Caenorhabditis elegans: one gene and its partners. The protein of the gene in region 3 interacts with the protein of the main gene of each other region in a pairwise test. Each region holds a gene or a part of one and is shown on either strand. Other genes may lie near its edges. The genes, in order: ztf-28, F21A9.2, flh-2 and egl-13.

What was found.
Region 1: the proteins of flh-2 (region 3) and ztf-28 interact in a two-hybrid assay, tested with the Caenorhabditis elegans proteins (one large-scale study listed by BioGRID).
Region 2: the proteins of flh-2 (region 3) and F21A9.2 interact in a two-hybrid assay, tested with the Caenorhabditis elegans proteins (one large-scale study listed by BioGRID).
Region 4: the proteins of flh-2 (region 3) and egl-13 interact in a two-hybrid assay, tested with the Caenorhabditis elegans proteins (one large-scale study listed by BioGRID).

The regions. Positions count from the first base shown.
Region 1 is NC_003283.11:2,088,823-2,092,291, reverse strand, and holds ztf-28 (C2H2-type domain-containing protein), read right to left. Parts: upstream 1,624-3,469; 5' UTR 1,612-1,623; coding exon 1,500-1,611; intron 1,439-1,499; coding exon 792-1,438; intron 737-791; coding exon 677-736; 3' UTR 552-676; downstream 1-551. Other genes in the region: gtnt-26 (Glycosyltransferase family 92 protein), read left to right, coding at 245-539; gtnt-27 (Glycosyltransferase family 92 protein), read right to left, coding at 2,545-2,692, 3,303-3,469.
Region 2 is NC_003279.8:3,705,480-3,710,953, forward strand, and holds F21A9.2 (C2H2-type domain-containing protein), read right to left. Parts: upstream 3,957-5,474; 5' UTR 3,742-3,956; coding exon 3,700-3,741; intron 3,303-3,699; coding exon 3,201-3,302; intron 3,013-3,200; coding exon 2,898-3,012; intron 2,740-2,897; coding exon 2,629-2,739; intron 2,583-2,628; coding exon 2,395-2,582; intron 2,349-2,394; coding exon 2,203-2,348; intron 1,314-2,202; coding exon 1,052-1,313; intron 879-1,051; coding exon 724-878; intron 676-723; coding exon 618-675; 3' UTR 551-617; downstream 1-550.
Region 3 is NC_003281.10:4,950,100-4,955,685, reverse strand, and holds flh-2 (FLYWCH transcription factor 2), read right to left. Parts: upstream 3,563-5,586; 5' UTR 3,554-3,562; coding exon 3,320-3,553; intron 3,194-3,319; coding exon 2,732-3,193; intron 2,278-2,731; coding exon 2,002-2,277; intron 1,826-2,001; coding exon 1,598-1,825; intron 1,514-1,597; coding exon 1,412-1,513; intron 1,166-1,411; coding exon 1,055-1,165; 3' UTR 515-1,054; downstream 1-514. UniProt on the Caenorhabditis elegans protein: Probable transcription factor. May bind to the promoters of target genes, including micro-RNA genes, in order to repress expression, and acting redundantly with flh-1 and flh-3.
Region 4 is NC_003284.9:5,662,286-5,666,858, forward strand, and holds the start of egl-13 (Transcription factor egl-13), read left to right. Parts: upstream 1-1,551; 5' UTR 1,552-1,625; intron 1,626-2,079; exon of another isoform or gene 2,080-2,219; intron 2,220-4,202; exon of another isoform or gene 4,203-4,395; intron 4,396-4,573.

The DNA of each region.
Region 1 (3,469 bases), on a different chromosome or scaffold from region 3:
TTAACAAAGAAAAACACGGTACCCGGTCTCGACACGACCAGTTTTTGTAAATGCGGTGTGCGCCTTTGAAGAGTACTGTATTTTCAAAAACTCTGGTTTTTTTATCGATATTTCATACCTTACGCAGCAACCCGAGTTTAAAGTTACAGTACTCATTAAAGGCACACACTTGCATTCAACAAAAATGTGTCGTGTCAGGACCGGGAACCACAATTTCAAAAGTTCAAATTTTAAAAAATTTCAGCACAATTTCCCAGCCAGAATTCACCAGCTTAACCTCCTCTCTGCCCAAAGATGATTTTTATACGAACATCGTATTCCAGTGCTATAATCAATCATTTTATCACATTCGAGACGCCGGCCTTCTTTCTGCAGAATCCACGTGTGTAAATGCTTTTGATTGTGAGCTTTCACAACGAGAAGCGATGCCGTGTACCCATTCAGATGCCACGTATCACTCCGGGCCGCCCATGTTTCCAATCACATTCCATTGGGCGAGTGATGCATTCTTTAGTGATGAGATTGGATGCTATCAGTAATTGGATCTTTTTTTTAATCAAAATAATGTATTAAAGCTTATCGAAAATTGAAAATGTAAATTAACATAACATGAAAATCAAAAAGTGAGCAGTGAGGTAGAACTATAAACATAATGAAGACACTCGAACATCAACGATTACTCAATTTCCGGCTTGATGCGCTTTTCTGGGATCATGGCTGGCTCGGCTGGCTGGATCTGAAAAATTATTTTTTGAAAATTTATCTTTAAAAAAAATGTTTTAATTAGCTACCTGCTGAGCTTTCTTGTAGCTCTGAAGCGCCGTCGCAAGAGCATTCGCACTTTCGATGATTATGACCCATGTGTCGACTTCAGTGATCTGCTGATCGGTGAAAAAATTTCTCTGTAGAATTGTGTCGACTGCATTGTTGAAGAATCTTTTGTACTCGAGAGCTTCTTCATTGGGCTCTGGCTCTGGCTCTGGCTCCAGCTTCAGCTCCAGCTCCGGTTGGGGCGATCCTGAAGCGTCGCGGGAAGATGAGGACGTTGTTGAATTGGAAGTCGACGGCGACAGAGACTTGTTCAAAAGACGATTAAGCTTGAAGCCGGCTCTTTGAATTGGCGATTTCAGCAGTGATCCCGGTGAATTGCCGGATTTCGCAATCGGGTTGGCGTCTCCTGGAGCTCCGGTTTCCTGTATGGCCTTTGCGTGTTCGGTGAGGGCTTTTTTGTTGGAAAACGTCCAGTTACAGCATCCGCAGGTGTATACTTGACCCAAGTAGTGCTCATTTCTCATGTGATCACGGACGGTCTCCTTCAGGTAGAGCTTACGGGCGCACAGCATGCAGGTGTACTCGTCGCTATGCACCAGTTTACGATGGCGGTTGAGAGAAGCGCCGTGCTTGAAGTTTTGGCCGCAGGACAAGCAGAGGAAATCGCCTGAAAAATGGAAAAATTAATGTTTTTTTTTAATTACAAAAAAAAATAAAATAAAACTCACCTCTGAGATCCGGCCGCTTAAGCTCGCTTTCTTCTTTGCGAAGCAGTGACGATTTTTCAGCGAATTCCGTTTCGAAGCGGTCGATAAGGGGCTTGTGATCGGAAGTATCCATGAAGCTGATTTTCTGAAAGAAGAGGACATTTTGAAGAAAAATTTTAGAATTTTACATCAATTTACACTCAAAATAATAAAACTGCGTTGCGTGTACGCCAAAATAGGCCCCGCCTTTTTCTCGTTCACTCACGGGGAAAAGGCAAAAAGCGGCTGGTGTAGCCAATATCAGCAGCCGACATCATTCGAGGTCCGCGCACCACACTATTTTTCTCACTGTTGGCGTGGCGAGCTGTCCCCCCCCTCCCATATTTTTGCCTTTTTCCCGTGAGTGGACGATTAAAAGGCGGGGCCTATTTGGTCGTACACGCAACGCAGTTTTATTATTTTGAGTGTAGAAGAAAAAAGAATTTTTTTACTGACCTACAAAATTTTTGCAAGGATAGTAGACTAAAAAAGCTTCTCACTAATCACATTAATCATATAATTAATAAATAATATTTTTAAACGAAAAAAATCTGTAAAATTAATTAATTCAGGGTCGACGTCGTTTAAAAGTGTTACTTCTTTGTTTCTACGCTTGTAAAGTAGGTTTTCAATCGATTATTTGAATTTATCTTAATTTTTTCTTTATATTTCAAAAAAAAAATACACTGAAAACATGAAAAATCGGTGAAAAATGAGTGAAAATAACAATAAATATTTAATTTTAAATAAAAATAAAAACGTGCAAGCGCGCTCCATCGAACGAATTCTCTTGGCGGTAATTCAAATTGCAGTTCGGGCAAAACTGAGATTTTTCCAATTTTCAAAAAGTCATATAAAATTTAGAAAAAAAAATTGAATTTTTTTACTATGATATTTGGCCATTGTGACACTATAGGCATGTTTTAAAGCAATTTTCCCACTGGCGCTACTTTGTGATTTGATTTATTTCGACATGAAAAAAAAGGAATACAAAACCGGTACAGTAAGTTACTGCAATTTCTTCATTTCAAGACCCATAAATATGCTCAGCCATATTAGCAACTTTATGCACCAGAAGCTTCTCCAGCTCCCTATCCAGCTCGGTTATAGTGAAGTTGTCGCCGTAAATCCAACCATTTCCGATACTATTTCTGACGGAGGTCATTCGGTAGTGTCTGAAAATGTCAGTGTCGATTTACGCGGCTCGTGTACTCCTCGAGGACAAGTGTGCGTTTTTTGGCAAAAATTTCCTGATTTTTGGCCATTTTCGGTAATTTTTTCTACAGAATTTCCGCCTAAAACACTAAAAAATTAGAAAATTCAGTCTAAAATGCTCACTATTTTCAAAAATAATACACAAAAATCGGCAAGAATTTCAGTAAAAATTCAAAAATCTCTGCAAAAAACAAATGCACACTTCTCCTCGAGAAGTACACGAGCTGCTGCTTGAATTTACATATGACCGTGTTATTATACACACGCGAAACTTTGTGATTTTTGAGCTAAAAATACGATATCTGGTCTCGACACGATAATTTGTATTTTCGAAGAGGTGTGCGCCTTTAAGGAGTACTGTACGTTGGTGGGCTCTTCATAGTTCTTCGATAAAAAATATTATTCTGCAGAAAACAATCGAAAGAAAATTCCACTGCAACAAAAGTTTGCAATTACAGTACCCATTAAAGGCACACACCTTTTAGTATTAAACAAAACATTTTCGTGTCGAGACCGAGTACCATATTTTGGTCCAAAAATCGCAAACTTTCACGTATGTGTAAAACCTACCTAAACCCGGCAGTCTCCCTGGGAACATTTTTCACGATAACGCCGGGATACTGTAGATGAGTGTGATGGTAGGTTTGTACGGCGACCATTTCCGGGCGGTATATACTTTTTGAAGATTCCCAGATTTGAGTTCTAGTAGTGTTCCGGAATTTCAGCGCCTCCAGGTT
Region 2 (5,474 bases), on a different chromosome or scaffold from region 3:
CTATTTCTCGTATTTACTACAAAAATATTGCTATTTAATATTTTCATATTAGATTTGAGTTGCCTGAGAATTGGAGTTTTAAAAAATCGAAAACGAGGTGCAAACGCGTTTCAACACCAAATGAAAACGATCCGCCCCCAAACGTTGGGTCTCATTGGGTATTGGCGGCAAAACCAGAAATTCAAACGTTTTCGAACATTATTCAACTGTTTTGTTCTTTTTCGTGATTTTTATGTGGTATAAAAATATAAAAATATAAAAAAAAACGTATCTGAAATTGAAAAATGAATACGCTCGTTTGATTCGGTTTTATATGTTCTTTTTGACATTAAAAAATAATTTTTTAAAAACAGAAAAAATTACAAAAAAGGTCTAAAAACTCTTGAAACCGGCGAAATCAGCGAAAATAATTTGAATTTCTGGTTTCCGGCCGCCAATTCCTAACGAGACCCGTCGTTTAGGGCGGAGCTTTTCACTTGACTATGAGGCGCGCTATTTTCTGCTGCCCAATAATATCTTTGAAAGTATGTTTCAAATTGGCAACAAAACAATTATTAAAACCCGTTTATTGAGCTGAAAATAAATTGTCTAATTTCTTAAAATATATTTTTATCCATTCATGTTTCATCGGGCTCATTGGCTTTGAATTTCAAAGCTTCATCGTCAGAATGAGATCTGAAACACATCGATTTACTTGATTATTACTTATAAGTTCCCCCAAACCTCATATGCGTACGAATCCCTCGCATACTGAATGCTCGGTAGCCGCACACCAAACATGTGAATGTCTTCGTTGTCTGATGCGATGATCGAATGTGCATAGATAGCTGCGAGGACGATGTCGGCACAAAATCGCATTTTGTACACTTCTCCGGTACCTACAAATCTCCTTTTTTTTCTTTCTTTTTTCGTTCTCAACTCAAGCTTGTGCACAAGCTCTCTTTCACTGGCTCGCCATAATTCAAGATTGCAATCAGAAAGAGGCTCGGAGAGATCACGAAAACTGATAAACTGGGAAATGAAGAAACTGAGAAATAAAAGTGTATCTCACCTTTCTCAAAGAATCATTTCTGTGTGGTCCACCACCTGGAGATGATACACGAGTTGTGTGGCTACAGTACAGTTGCTTATGCGCGTCATACGTGGTCTGAGACGAAAACGAGACTCCACAAGTGCACGAGAATGGTCTTTCCGGGTAGATTGGCTCACTGCTCGAGCTTTTTGAAGTTGGAGAACAACTGGCTGAGAGTGATGGAACACTTGGTGCATGGGGTGATGAGGATAAATCCAGAGGAGTTGAAGTTCTTACATTCCTGAATAGAAAAATAAAATAAAAAAGATTTTCATTTATTACGAGAACACGAAATTCTGAAAATGCGTATTACGCAACATATTTGACGCGCAAAATATCAAAACTACAGTAGTTCTTTAAATGACTATTGTAGCGCTTGTGTCGATTTACGGGATCGTTTTTCGAAATGAATTATTTATCAATAGAATATTAAAAATTAGAAACGAATGGAATATCACTGCCGCTTTTCAAAAATATATGCGAACAAGCCCATAAATAGGCACAAGCGCTACAGTAGTCAATTAAAGTAGTTTTCGCTTCGAGATATTTTCGCGTCAAATTTGTCGCACATTTGTCGCATTCTGAGTTTTGTATTCCCGTTATATAAAGGTTAAAAATGTTCCTTTTGAAATCAAGGTCCGCCCCTAAACGTTGGGTCTCGATAGGTATCGGCGCCAAAACTATCAATTTAAATTATTATGTTTTGTCGCCTGTCGTTTTAATTATTTTTAATTTCAAAAATGATGATATAAAAATGCATTCTTCAAACATCATTTTGACATGAATACATATCATGAAAAACAGCAAAAAAGTCGAAAAATGGTTGAAAACGTTTGGATTTTGCCGTCAATTCCTACCAGGACCACATGGAGTCAGAAAGTCCCATTTCGCTTTGATCTTCAAAAAATGGCGGGAGGAGAGACGCAGACATCTCATCTGATTTTGCATGATTAAGAGCATGCTGACGTCACATTTTTTCCGGAAAAAAATTCCCGCATTTTTTGTAGATCAAAGTGCAATGAGACTGTTTGACACCACGTGCAGGACCCCACATTTCGGGGCGGAGCGTTTTTAATTATCTGTGGAGCGCGCTTGCATAATAAGACTGTGTTGCAAAAGAAAAAACCAACTTCTCATCCAAATTGATAATAGGAATCTGCACGGAGAGTTTCGAAGTTGAAAAGTTTGGCATTTCCAATTTTCTCTTGTTATGAATGAGCAAAGGATTTGAGTTGATTAATGCCGAATTTCGTCCAATAGTAACAGGACCCACTACCTAAAAGTTCAATTGAAATTAACAACTAGCTTTCAAACTGAGTTACCTGAAAGGGATTCTGCTGAAAGAGGTCATGAAACGCCATTGGCAACAAAATAACATTTTGTTGTTTTCGAGAATCCGCATTTTCAACTACATTTCCGAGTTTCTTCTTACTACAGTACAAATCTTCATGAACTTTCAAATTGTGAAGGGAGTTGAATTTTGCCACGTGACAGTGTGGACATTCGTGTTCTGAAATTTCGAAATGCAGTTCTTTTCGAAAAGCAAAAAAGCTCACTTTTCTCCAACTTTTCTTGCTCCAGACGATAGTTCATATCAGCGACAAGAATGGCTCGAAGTGGCTCCACGGTCGTCAGATTTTTTGTGAAAAGAATTGTGAACACGGGACCTGAAACATTGGCCTAGGTGAAGTTGAAATTTCAAAAAAGTCGTTTGGTGGACTAATTAGTGAAAGCTAGGCAGGACATGAATTGTCTTTGAGTGCAAAAATATCCGTTTGGGTGGCCTAGTTTTCAATTTCTAGGCCATGTCGTGTGGCTCGCATACCTGTCTGCATAATGACACAATTAGCTAGAAGTGGACCTTGGGCTGCTTGAATTCTCCGCGTCACTGGATTCGATTCCATCTCGAAACCCATCGATTCACCGGTGAAGTTGGAGAGCTGGAAATTAAGGAGGTTCTACGGTGCATTTGTGCGGGGAATATGGTGTATTGTGTCTGTCGAATCAGAAGAATTCAATGCGCCAAAAGTTACGCGCAAATTTGAGAACCCACCGGTAGTCAGAATCCAGTTTTGATCTACAGATATTGCGCCAACTTCTATAACTTACAGTATATGCTTTAACTTACAGTAATCCTCAACAGTTGTCCATTGCCGCTCACAGAATACGGTCCAACACAATCGCCACATCTAAACTCGATTGGTGCGGTCATAACTTGTTTTCGTATTGACTGCAAACTTTTGATGATAATTCAGTCCTCAATATTCAACAAAAAAAGTTTTACGCGATGTGTAAATTTAATTTTCTAATTTTTTTTGCGTTATTTTTGTAATTTTGAATTTATATTTATCATCATTTCCCTATTCATTAATCAATATTTTTGTTTGTCAAATGTAGCGTTTTGGGTCTCGCAACGCTTAATTCTTTTGAGTTTACTGTACTGTAATTTCACCTTTCATAAGAAAACCGATAATAAAAATAAGAACAAATCAAATTTCAACAAGTTGTCAGAAAAAGGTGCAAGATAACATTACTTATTAGAAGAGCACACCTTTTTGCATTTCACAAAAATTTGTAGTGTCGAGACCGGGTTTGAAGCAAAAATCAAAAAATCTACTGTAACTCACGCTAGCTATTGTATTATGCAGAATCGATTGGTTTACATCCATTGTATATAAATGAAGTGGCCGAATGAGAAAACGAAAGAAGAGGCTTCCGACGAAGAAAGATGGGCTCGAGTGAGCGATAAGATCTCAGGGACAACGCGGGGCGCAGAGCAAGTTGTGCGTGCTCCGGCACTCCGAGTCACACAGATTTTGATGATAAGGTGAAGAAGAAGAAGACAAAAGGAAGATTGGGAAGAGCAGATGAAGTGACTGAACAACTGAAATAGATTGAATCTCCGGTTGGAATGAATATTAGATTAGTAGAGATTTGAGAGGAAAAGTTGAGTAGTGAACATTGCGCGTGAAATGTGATGCATTGAGTTGGCAGGTGCTTTAAGAGCAAAATATGAAATTTTAATAGAGAAAATCTAATGTTTTAAACTTCTGAATATTGCTTTGTTTTTGAAATTAATTATTTATGAGAATCTCCAAAGTACTGTCAGATTGAAGCCTTTTACCTTAGTGCATAATTTGAGCTACGGTAATTATTTTTTTGCGTATTAAATGTGCTTACACTTCAACAGTTTAAAGGTACATAGATGTTTCTAGAATATTTTCATAGATGGCTGATTCAAAATTAAAAGCTCTATATAGTAAAGTAATATTATAACATTGACTTTTGCCTACCGAATATCTCAATTATCGCCGTCTTCCTTACTGATCATTATCTACCCCAATTTTTATCTTTAATCAGTTACCACAATCTCTTATCATCTGTGATTCAGTTTAACTATACATGTAGGGATGTTCCCAGTTGTCGACTGTAGACATTTCACTAGGTTGAGGCGTGACGGGGGCGCCTCTCTCTCTCTCTCTCTCTCTCTCTCTCTCTCTCTCTCTCTTCGCCCTTCTCGCGCCCTATCCGTGCAATTCACTTATATACACGCTATAGCTATACAGCGAACTTTATTTTCTTCTTCTACGGTTTCAAAGGCGCACGTATTTATGCGAAATGGTCTCACCACGCGTTACTCATTAATGTTTTTTTTTTTCAATCAATGGGTTGCGCGTAGCGAGGCCATTCCGCTTAAATACGCGTTTATTTTTTTATCAATATAATATCAATTGGAATTATTTTAAATGAAAGAGAAAAAACCCCAAAGCAGAGTTCAAAAGATGTTCGTGCACGATCGTGTAGCAGCAAATCGGCGGCCGAGTTTTTTCTTTCATTTCCGCGGCCGCACAATAATCATGACGGTTTTACTGCATGACCAAGAGAGAGAGAGAGAGAGAGAGAGAGAGAGAAAATCTCGGCCATCAAGGTTTTCATGCAAAATTCAAGTTATCGACAGTTTCCGAAACGCAAAAACATGTGCCAATTTTTTCTCAGAAAAAAACTCACGAAAAATCAGGATAGTGCATACTATAAAAAATAAAATACTGAAAGTATGTATTCTCACAGTTCTCTCTAAAAGCCGCCACGTGGCAATGTCAAAAATTCAAAAGTGCCACCGGTTTTTTTCGAATTAAAACTCAAAAAAGTGATAAAAATGTATTATTACTGATGAAAATGTGAGGAAGAGGAAAAAGAAAGTGAGCCTGTGTGATATTATCATATCAGTTGAATTGAATCAGTGGAGTATGTGCTGATAGGGTTTCTTATCAGTTTCAACTAAAAAAACTAAACGACACCGATTGATTGCAAAACATCAGCTGATTGCAGATGTATGACGTGGCAGGAGGCACTGAAAAGCAAAAAAAGGTTCAGGAAATGTAGGAAAAAGGAAAAGCGGTGA
Region 3 (5,586 bases):
TTTCAATTTGTTTCCTAGCAACGTTTTTGATGTAATCGTCAATGTAACAGCCACAATTGTATGAGCGTCATGTTCTTTCTACATATTTTTGATAATGTATAATTGGAGTCTAGACCGACCCTTACTACAGGGTGGCCCATAATTATGCGGACCGCCAGTCTGAAAAGTTAACAATTGAACATCCGTGTTCCGAGTTTATCGACAAGCTGTAAGAATAGTTTTCAAAATTAAAAAAACACTAATTTTGTCATATAAAACACAAACACTCACTTTTACTAGAGGAGCAACATCTATTAATTCGGCTCTTGAAGATTCTAACTCGACAAAAATGTCACGAAATTTGATGAGTATTTGTTGGAGCATGTTGGAGCTCTTTTGTGATATTTTTTGATGAATTCGGAACTTGATGACAAAATTGGTTATTTCTCATCTCTTTGCTACGATTAGGTACTCAATTTTTCATGGACTTAGACATACTAATGCTAGAACACAATGGTGACATTATAGCAACATTTTTTACTTATTCATGTTCAATTGTCCACTTTATATATATTTTTATTTCATAGAAACAATTTATTGATGTAAGTGATCAGGGGATAATTGTTAGTTGAACGATATCATTTTATCAAAAGAAAAGGAGCATATAAAGGGGGTTTTTTCCTGAGTTGGAGAGGGTGGTTTCCGTAATTTTATAAGGGGGAAAGAGCACAATAAAAGGGAGACATAGAGATTGGAATTGACAAGGAATATGAAAATTTGCGAACTTTTCTGAAAAGTTCACAATGAGATCCGGAAATGGGGGACCTGACGACGAGCTTTTTTGTTGAGAAACAGACAAGATTATAGAGACAAGATAAGGGAGAGGTATTGAGAGGGGAAAATGGCTGGAATAAATTTAAAAAAAAATTTACAATTTGTAATTATATGATTGCTCCGGGAGCTCGATATTATAGGTTCATGACAACTAATAAAATGTAGCGTGCAGCGAAACGTTGCAGTCGGTCAAGTTATAATTTCATGACTCCAAACTATCGATTAATTGAATAATGATCACTTAGACATGGTTTAAAGGCTCGCCGAAAGCGTCGACGGGCGTTAGACGCCAGAGAGCCGGTGCATCAGTGTTGACGAGAAATAGTTTTCCGTGTGTCCAATTGCTGATTAGCTGAAAGGTTCAGAAATGCTTAGAAAAAAATGACTTGATTTAGATTTTTTGTAGGATAAATTTGACAAACTGCCAAACTTTCGAAAAAATCTTCGAGCTTTCCCACAGGTCTTCGAGCTTCCCCTACAACAAATACAAATAATCAATGCTAAATTTCGAAAAGTGGAAGAGTTTTCTCATATTCACCGCCACGTAGCAAAACTCTACCAGGGCTCATGTCTAGTCTTAGAAAATTGATTCGCTTACCGCTTCATGTACAAGCACATTAACCCTCTGTGAGTAACACAGAGCAAGTTTTCCTTCGCAACGTTTGCCAGTGAATCCTTCTAACGCAGTGATTAGGGATTTCTGAAAATTATAAATTTTTAGGAAATAATTGTTGATTGTTTTCTGCTTTCAGTCTTTCGGGCTTCCAGAAATTATATTACTTACCTCATCACGATTCATGACAACCACCGGAAAGAAGACATTCTCTTCTGCTCCATTATCATGTGATAAGAACAAAAGAATTGACCCTTCATCTCCTTGCCATCGAACTCCAATTTCAGTTTTTGGCTTCATCATTTCCATGAGCTTTTTGGTCAATTCGTAAGTGATACGGAATTCTTCTTGTGACATCAATTGAGATGAATCTTCTTCTTCTTTAGGAGTTGTGCGTTGCTGAAAATATTAAGAAATTCCAAAGTTGTTCGAAATTTTCGAATTTGGCCCTGAATTTTAGAAATTCGTATCATTTTTTTTAGTTCATTTCCGTTTTTCTGGCTCAAACCTATAGTTTTGAAAAGTTCCAACCTTATGATGTTTGAACAAAGCATAATTATTCAAGAAAAACAAACCGATTTCAAAGTGATAGGCATCACAGTCGTTGATACTCTTTTCTGTCCAACAACCGGCGGACTTATTCCAGCAGAAGTTGCAGCTGCAGCCGCAGTTGCTGCTGCATTGATTGAGGCGAGAAGCATTAAATTATTGTTTTGTTGAAAGTTTTGAATTGTTTGATTTGTCGTGTCAACTTCCATTGGTTCAGCTTTAATTTGTTGTGGAGCAATTGGTAGAGCTTGTGATACATGTGAGGCACGGCTCAGTTTTCGTTGCATGTAGGATCGGTTGATCTAAAAGATTTCAATTTAAAAAAGATTGGGAAATTTTGGAATTCTTAAATCAAAAAACATGAAATTAGCAGTTACACATAATCCGAATGTTTTATTAACAATAAGTGTTGTGCCTACCTGCCTGCCTACAGGATCTACCGAAAACTAAAAAAAAACTTTTTTATTTTGGCTGGTTTCCCTGTAACCCCCCGCGATGAAAATCCACGCCCACTGCGTCTTTAAACTCCGCCCACTCCGTCTGATTGGTTGGAAAATGAGCGGAGCGAATCGCTGATTGGTCTAACATTTATCATTTTAGAGGAAGTTCAAGCAGGGCGATTAGTAAAAATCGAAATACATATAACGTTTCGGCGTACATACATTTTCGTTCTTTCTCGACTTTTTATTTCTAACTATTTTGAATATTTCAAGTTTTGAATATTCACCATAAATCTTTTAGCTCAAAAAAACTCACACTTTTCACTGGATGACAATAATTTGGATGGAGAGTAGAGAAATCTTGCTCATAAAATGCAAGTTCTTCGGGCGACGGTTTCTCATGATTATGTGGATGTAACTTTCTCACAATTTCTCGTGTATTGATATCTGAATGCATTCTTGCATTACAATCATTCTTTCGTTCACATCTCCAAAATTCTTTAGTTCCACAACACGATTTCTTATCAAATGACATGATATATCCATCTGCATACACTTTTTCTCGCACATTTCTCGGTTTATATTCGGGTTCTGTGGACGATGATGACGTGGATGTTGCGTTTGATTGTCCACTGTTAGATACTGCAGTTGCAGTTGAAGACGGTGATGAGCTGGCAGATGGACGTGTATCTTCAGATATTAACTGAGATGTTTGGGATTGTGGATCAAGAAGTAGAGAGAATGCTTTTAGATTTGTAGTGCCAAGGGCTTGAAGAGTCTGAAAAATAACAGATAGACTTACTCGAACATGAATATCTAAAAAGTCTTTCAAGAGAATCAATTTCACATCTATAACTCAATATATTAATCAAGGAGTCAAAACCACAAAGAGCCCATCTCTCACCTGAATAACATTCGTATAGTCAATATCTGCCAAATGTTTTTGCGAATTGGTTCCATTCACCGCTGCCTGCACAATCGTTGGTTGTTGTAACAGTAATCCGGCGACTATTTGCTTCTGTGCCAACATCGCCAGTTCATTATTATTATTTCTGTTTGGTGTCGTCGACGGTAGTGGAAAGATCGGAGGAACCGCTGTGACACCATCTGTATTTGTGTTCATCATGGTGTCCACCATACAGGCGGTCTGAAAAGAGGAAAATTAATGGAAAATACGATGAATTCAAAACTATCTACACGGTATGTCTCAATTGTTTTAGAACATTTGAATAACAAATCCAAGAGATGCAAGAAGCGTACTAATAGAGGAATTAAGTGACAATTGCGATTAAGGTGAACAAAAAACAAAAGTAAAGGGAATATTAATATTTAGGTGCAATAGAAGAAAAGGAAGTGGTACCATCGGAGAATTGAAAAAATATGATAGGGTTATTCCAAAATTGTGAGATCATGAGTTTTCTCTGGTTTGGATTGGGATCTACAAAACTATTTTACTAGAACTTGTATTTTTTTTAATCAGAGAGCAAACAAGGACATTCCAATTCACCTCTAATTGTAGTGCTTTCAATCTTTCTAAACCTCCTCAACATATGATAAAAAGTTATTTAGTTGAAAATATTTTGCTAGATTGCTTTTTTTCAAAAAGTTCAAAATTCGTAGACTTCTTAAAAATATTTAGATAATGTTCCGATGTTTTCCAAAATTCCAATGAATAGTTTAAGATTGCCCTCTTCGAGTTGTTGTAAACATAAAAAATGGAAGAGAGTGTGCTCTTTTGACAGAGACTGCACTAGTAGTAAACGATGCAGTGAGGGGGAACAAAATGGTCGCGCCAGGCGCCAGCTGGTCGCAGCAGGGGTCCGTCCGCCGGTTTGGAGCCTCTCCCCTCTCCCGGTTTCCATTGGCTCCACATCAGTAGAATCCACTAAATATATGCGGAATGGCGTCGGGAAGCGGCCGCGGCGGAGGAGAGAGGGAGGAGGACGCGGCGACGGACGATTTATTGGCGCCATGCTGTGTTGGTTTAACTCAGTTATTCATCACTTTTGAAAGATACAAATTTAATGAAAAAGTGACAGAGATAATGAAAGAACCCTAGAATTAGATGGTAGATTGGTCAAAAAAGTAAAAACGCAGTCGGAGGCGGCCTATACCTAGCGGGAATTTCGTCTAATGACGCGAATTTTAAGAAATCAAGACAATCTGAAAAAAAACGAACTAAGCCTAAGCCTAGGCCTCATCATGAGCCTGAGCCTGAGCCTGAGCCTGAGCCTGAGCCTGAGCCTGAGCCTAATCCTAAGAGCAATCATAAGCCCAGGCCGGTCTGCAGACCCTTAAACTTGCGAAAGTATTGTACAAGACTTGCGGTTTTTCTTGTTAATTTCATAAACTTATGATTATCTGTAAAGTTAGCTTAACATGAATAATATGTAAAGTCCTGACCGGAAAAAACAATTAAATATTCAATTATTACAATGTGGTTAGATACTAACGAAAACAATCATTTTTTAAGCTTACAAAAAACTATATGAATAACAATATAATTAAATTTTTAGAAAATATAAATATTAAACCAAAAAATACCAACTTGGAATGCCCTTTTCGTGAGCTCAATGACTCCGTTGAAGCGGAGCCAAAAAGCAGAAGGGACCTGACTCCCAGAGCCCACGAGAAGCGCCAGGAGAAGCGCGCGCCGAAAAAAGATGGATAGAGAGAAAAAGAGAAAAAGAATGAAAAAAAGAGAGAAGCAGTCAGATGACCGACGCGGCGCCAGTCAAAATAGAGGCGCTCGTGGTGGAGTGAGAGAAGGACGGGGGAGCGAGAGTAGAAGCAGAAAAAAAAGAAAAGAAGACCACCCAAACAAGCTCTTTCTCTCTTTTTCTTTAGACCAACGTACCTATTATCGTCACCGCTTCTTCTTCTTCTTCTACGCCTCTTTTTTCTCCATATTCCCGTGTCACCATCACCACCTAGTACGGCAAAAAACAAAGGTGATGGATGGGAAAAATGAAAATATTCACTGAATTTAGTGGTTATAGATCTAGATTTTTCAAGTTTACAAGAAAAGTAAGACAATGTAACATCAGGCTCCAAAAAAGATAGATTTTTTGAAGACTTTCATTTTTTTTTTTAAAGTTCTAAGTTTTTTGAATCTATTGCTCGCGCAAGTGAAGTCAAAAAAATTTCAGATTCAAAAATGTATTTCCTTAA
Region 4 (4,573 bases), on a different chromosome or scaffold from region 3:
TGAGTTTGCTTAGAAAATCGGAATACTAAATGTCTCAATCTCAAATTCAAGTTCAAGCATAGATCTAAAATTTTAACATTTCGATGTGTTTTTTCAGTTCTTGTGTTTTTAACAATTCTAAATATGCAAACCTATTTAATTTACCTAGTTATTCAGGGTGGTTAATAACTGTGTAAGTTCACTTGTTTTAATATCTCGTTCCAAAAACAGAAACGTTGAGTTACTGCAAAGTGGTCGCCATAATTATGGGCGACTCTGTATATTCTTGAACTAGAAAACCGTATCTTTACGGTTTCATTTGTGATAGCCTTTTGACCTTATTTTATATAGACTTATATAAGAGTTCGTATACTCTAGGATTTTGTTGTATGTAGTAACTAAGATTTTTTTTAATATTCCAAGTTCCTAGATGTCATAACCTCTCACTATAGTTAGAACTTTTTGGCCTACTTAAAATTTCTAGGCTATATTGAAATACAATTTCAGTGTGTTTCAATATTCTTTACTGTCAAAAGCTAAAATGTCCACCTAAAATACATTATGATTGATTCCCGTCCTCGTATTGCGATGCCCTCTTAGTCTATCATAAATGCATTTCCGAATCTTCGAAACGAGGTTGAGTAGGTGCATTGTGTCAACTAAAAGAAACATTATGGAATTGTTGCAAGTGGTTCTCGACCTATTACCATTTCGCGTTCTTTGGAAAACTTTTGCGCCATTGGTCAACACATCCAGTTCTGAAGAAGCGCGGGTCCCCACCGTGTCTCTCCGACAACACACCACCACCACCCACTTTGCAGAGAAGAGGGCACAGTGTGTAACTTATTGTGAGACGATTCAGAGGACAAACAAATTGCGTGGTCAGTTTTGTTTTCAGGTGGGGTGGTCACTCTCTTTCATTCTCTTCATTGTGTGATGGAACACAACTACCTTGAACCACTTGTCTGATACCAGTTCCCTCTTCCAATCACCTAGACAACCAATACCAGCTTTTTCCTGTTTTCTCCCTCTCTCTTCTTCTCTTGGTTCAAAGTTTGTTGTCTGAAATTGCCAGTTCAATTGGGTCACCATGTCTGAAACTAGTGACCAATGAAATTTCGTGAACAGTCCAAAACAAAAAATTAATACCATAGGCTTCCTTGTGGGACAACTAGTTATATTTTCTGTTTGACTACTGAACTTATGTTTCTCTAAGTGTTGCTTTCTACTTTCAACCAAACATTTTTTTTCTCATTTTTCCATTTTGCCCCCATCTTTTATTCACTTGAACCTTTTCTCTTTTCTTTTTCTTCTTACCCTCAAAGGACAAATCGTGAGACTATCCTCAATTGAAGAAAAGGAATTTCTGATATATATCTGTGCAATATCTTTGTTCTCCTTCATAATTCACAATTCATTCAGCGCGTGTGAATCGTTTGAATTAATAATGCCACTGAACTCAAATAATCGGCCTTTTTAAGTTTCTCTAGTTTCAATTTCTAACGCTTTTGATTCTTCTTTTTCAATGTTTTCTTCAGGCTTGAATTTACAAACGCAAATTTAAAATTCCAGACACTCCAAATAAAATCAATACTCCATAATACTGCTGGATCAGTAACAACAATCTCCCGAATGGCTCTATAGTGGTGAGTAAGAACTAGTTTCCGTTCTAGTTTCTACTGTGCCATGCTCTTTCCCCTTTTAATGTTGTGAGCACTGTTTTGCTTTTTCATTGAAATAACAAAACAAGTAGAACAAGTATTTGCACCAGCAAGCATCTGGTAAGTATTCTCTTCCTCACCAACTTTACTTTTCTCACACTTTTGCCTATATTTGCGCATTTGGAGCAAGAGCAACACTTCCAGATTTGGTGACAGATTTCAAAGAATTATTACTTTGTCTAGTCTTATTTTCTCCTTGTCGTGTGCCGTTGTTGATCATAATAATAGTAGGCCAAATCGCCGCACCCGTCACTGCTCATGATCCCTTTAATATCCTAGCTAACTCCGAGTTTATCATCATGTGCCTCCTATGGGCACTGCCAATTCCATAAATAATTGTTTTTTCTTCTTTTCTATCTATCCTTTGTGTTATCCTTCTTCTTCCATACTTTACCTTATCAAATATTCATGTATTCTTGACAGACTGTAAGGGATAATTGGAGATCTCGATGATGAATTATCCTTGCTCTTGTGTTTGCAGTTTTGGTAGGGTGTATATGTCAATTATTTCTTTTGAATACTCTATTGAGAATCTATTGAAACCATACTCTATTCAGCTTGAGCTTCAAGGGAGAAACATGCGAGTGATCATTGACATACTTGATTGTAGTTAAAAACCGCATTTTCCGTATTAAACTTGCACCCCAATGGATTTACCTCGTATATCAGTCTTCTTAAGTTTTACCAAAAAATTATTTACTGTTGAAATGTACAAAAACATTTTGCACATAATTTGCCAACCGAGATAGAAGCTGTCAAAGTAAAGCAATGAGAGTACAAGACTAATACATTACAACTAACGTCTATATCATCCCTTTTCTAATCTGGGAGTTTGGTGCTTCCAAATTATTTTCAGAAAAAAACGTCAGCACAGTTTGATAGCAAATGCTGCAAAGGATATGCTCCCCCAGTTTTATGATGATACCTGAAAATTAAGTAAAAATTTTGTAAAAAAAACATTCATCCAACTTCTATAGCACTCATCGGATTTTTTGACAGGGGCCAGTTCTCGGCTCCTCATAATTTTCTCGTTTATTGTTAAAATTTCGAACTAAACTTTGAGATATAAGTTGTGAAAATCAAGGACCATAGGTTTTCAACATTTTCTATTGAACTGTACTAACACCTTTTCAAAAAATATTTTCAAAAACACCAAACTCTCAAATTAGTGGGGTGGTGCTATAGACGTTGGGCACACTGTAGAGAAATATTTGGTGGTATATTAGGTCTCCAAATAAGTTCCGGGTCAAAAGTCATAACTTTGTTCGCTGCGTATCGATTTTTATGAAACTTTGGGAATTCATGTTATCAACTATGATCTTTCATTTGACAATAGTCACAAAATTTTTTGACCACCCCAAGTGCCCTAACTCGGAACCAATTTTTTCAGGCATTTTTCTGATCTCGCTTCTTTTCAAATTTCAATTGAGGTTCATGGTTACATCATTTTTGTAGGAAAAATCTAGAATTTTCGACAAAAAATTTTTTTGAAGATTTTTTGACGACCAACCAAAAAAAATTTTTTTGGACGGATTTTTTCAAAACTTTTGTTGTTTTCTAATAATGTATTCTAAACAAAGAAAAATCCGCACACAACCCTCAATTCAAAGCTGAAAATAAGCGAGATCAGAAAAATGCCTGAAAAAATTGGCTCCGAGTTAGGACACTTGGGGCGGTCAAAAAATTTCGTGACTATTGTTAAATGAAAGATTATAGTTGATAACATAAATTCCCAGAGTTTCATGAAAATCGATACACAGCGAACAAAGTTATGATTTTTGACCCAGAACTTATTTGGAGACCTAATATATTTGATTTACCTTTTTTTGAAATCTTTCTTATTTGTTGTGCATGAGACTTAACTTTTTTTTCATAAACTTATCACACAACAATTCTTCGCAAAACACTACAATCGAACATCATTCCTGCTCATCAAACATCTGCGCTGTCCCACTGTCCCAGTGTCTCATCGCTCGTCAAGCCTATCAACATTTTTTGTCCCAAACTAAAAGTGCAATGAGAGCTCCATTGTATTGCACGAAAAGTTTCTCAGTTTCTCAAAAAGTGTGACATCGAGAGAAAAAGAGCACCGTTGTTTCGAGGTTCAGCCGCCACAAGAGCCAGTTGTCACCGGCGCCCCGGATACACGGAACAAAGCCATGAGACGTATGTTCTATTAGGTGTTCAACTATTGCTAACCTGTCACCTGCCCCGACATTATTTGATTATCTATTGTCTCGTTAATTGATGGTAAGTAGAGTGTGTGACACCTTGAGAAACGATTCCACAAATATCACCATTTTGAACGTGTTGAAAATATCCGTCGAACTAACGTTTGTACTCGTAGTATCACTTTTTCCTATCCGTTTTTCGTGTTTGAAATCTTTGATAGGAAGATAAGACACAGGGAACCCCGAGCTCTTGATGGAACAATGCCTGCCAAGATGTTTGTCAATTGTTGCATCTTCCTGGAAGACGACAAAAGTTCCCCCGTTTTTCATCTTTTCGTCCCACTCTCATACGAATCTTGAACAGAAATTGTTGCGAAAATTTTTTCTTTCAAAAACTGACCTCAAATCAGCGGAAGGAGTCACTTGTCACACTTGTTCTTCTTTTATATATCACACTTAATAACACCTATCTTTTGTTGTCAAACCAAAACGGAGCTCTTGTAATATTCAATATTGAACGAACATTATGCCCTTTCCCATTTGACAAATAGGCCTTGATCCATCCTGCTCTAGACTATAATCGGCTTAACCAGGCCTTGCTCATAGATTTCGATTCTTAGCCCCTGTTTCCTCCATCCCCACAACAACAAGTTATCCAAGGGCAACATCGATGAATTGTGGAATTTGATACTAACGGTCCCG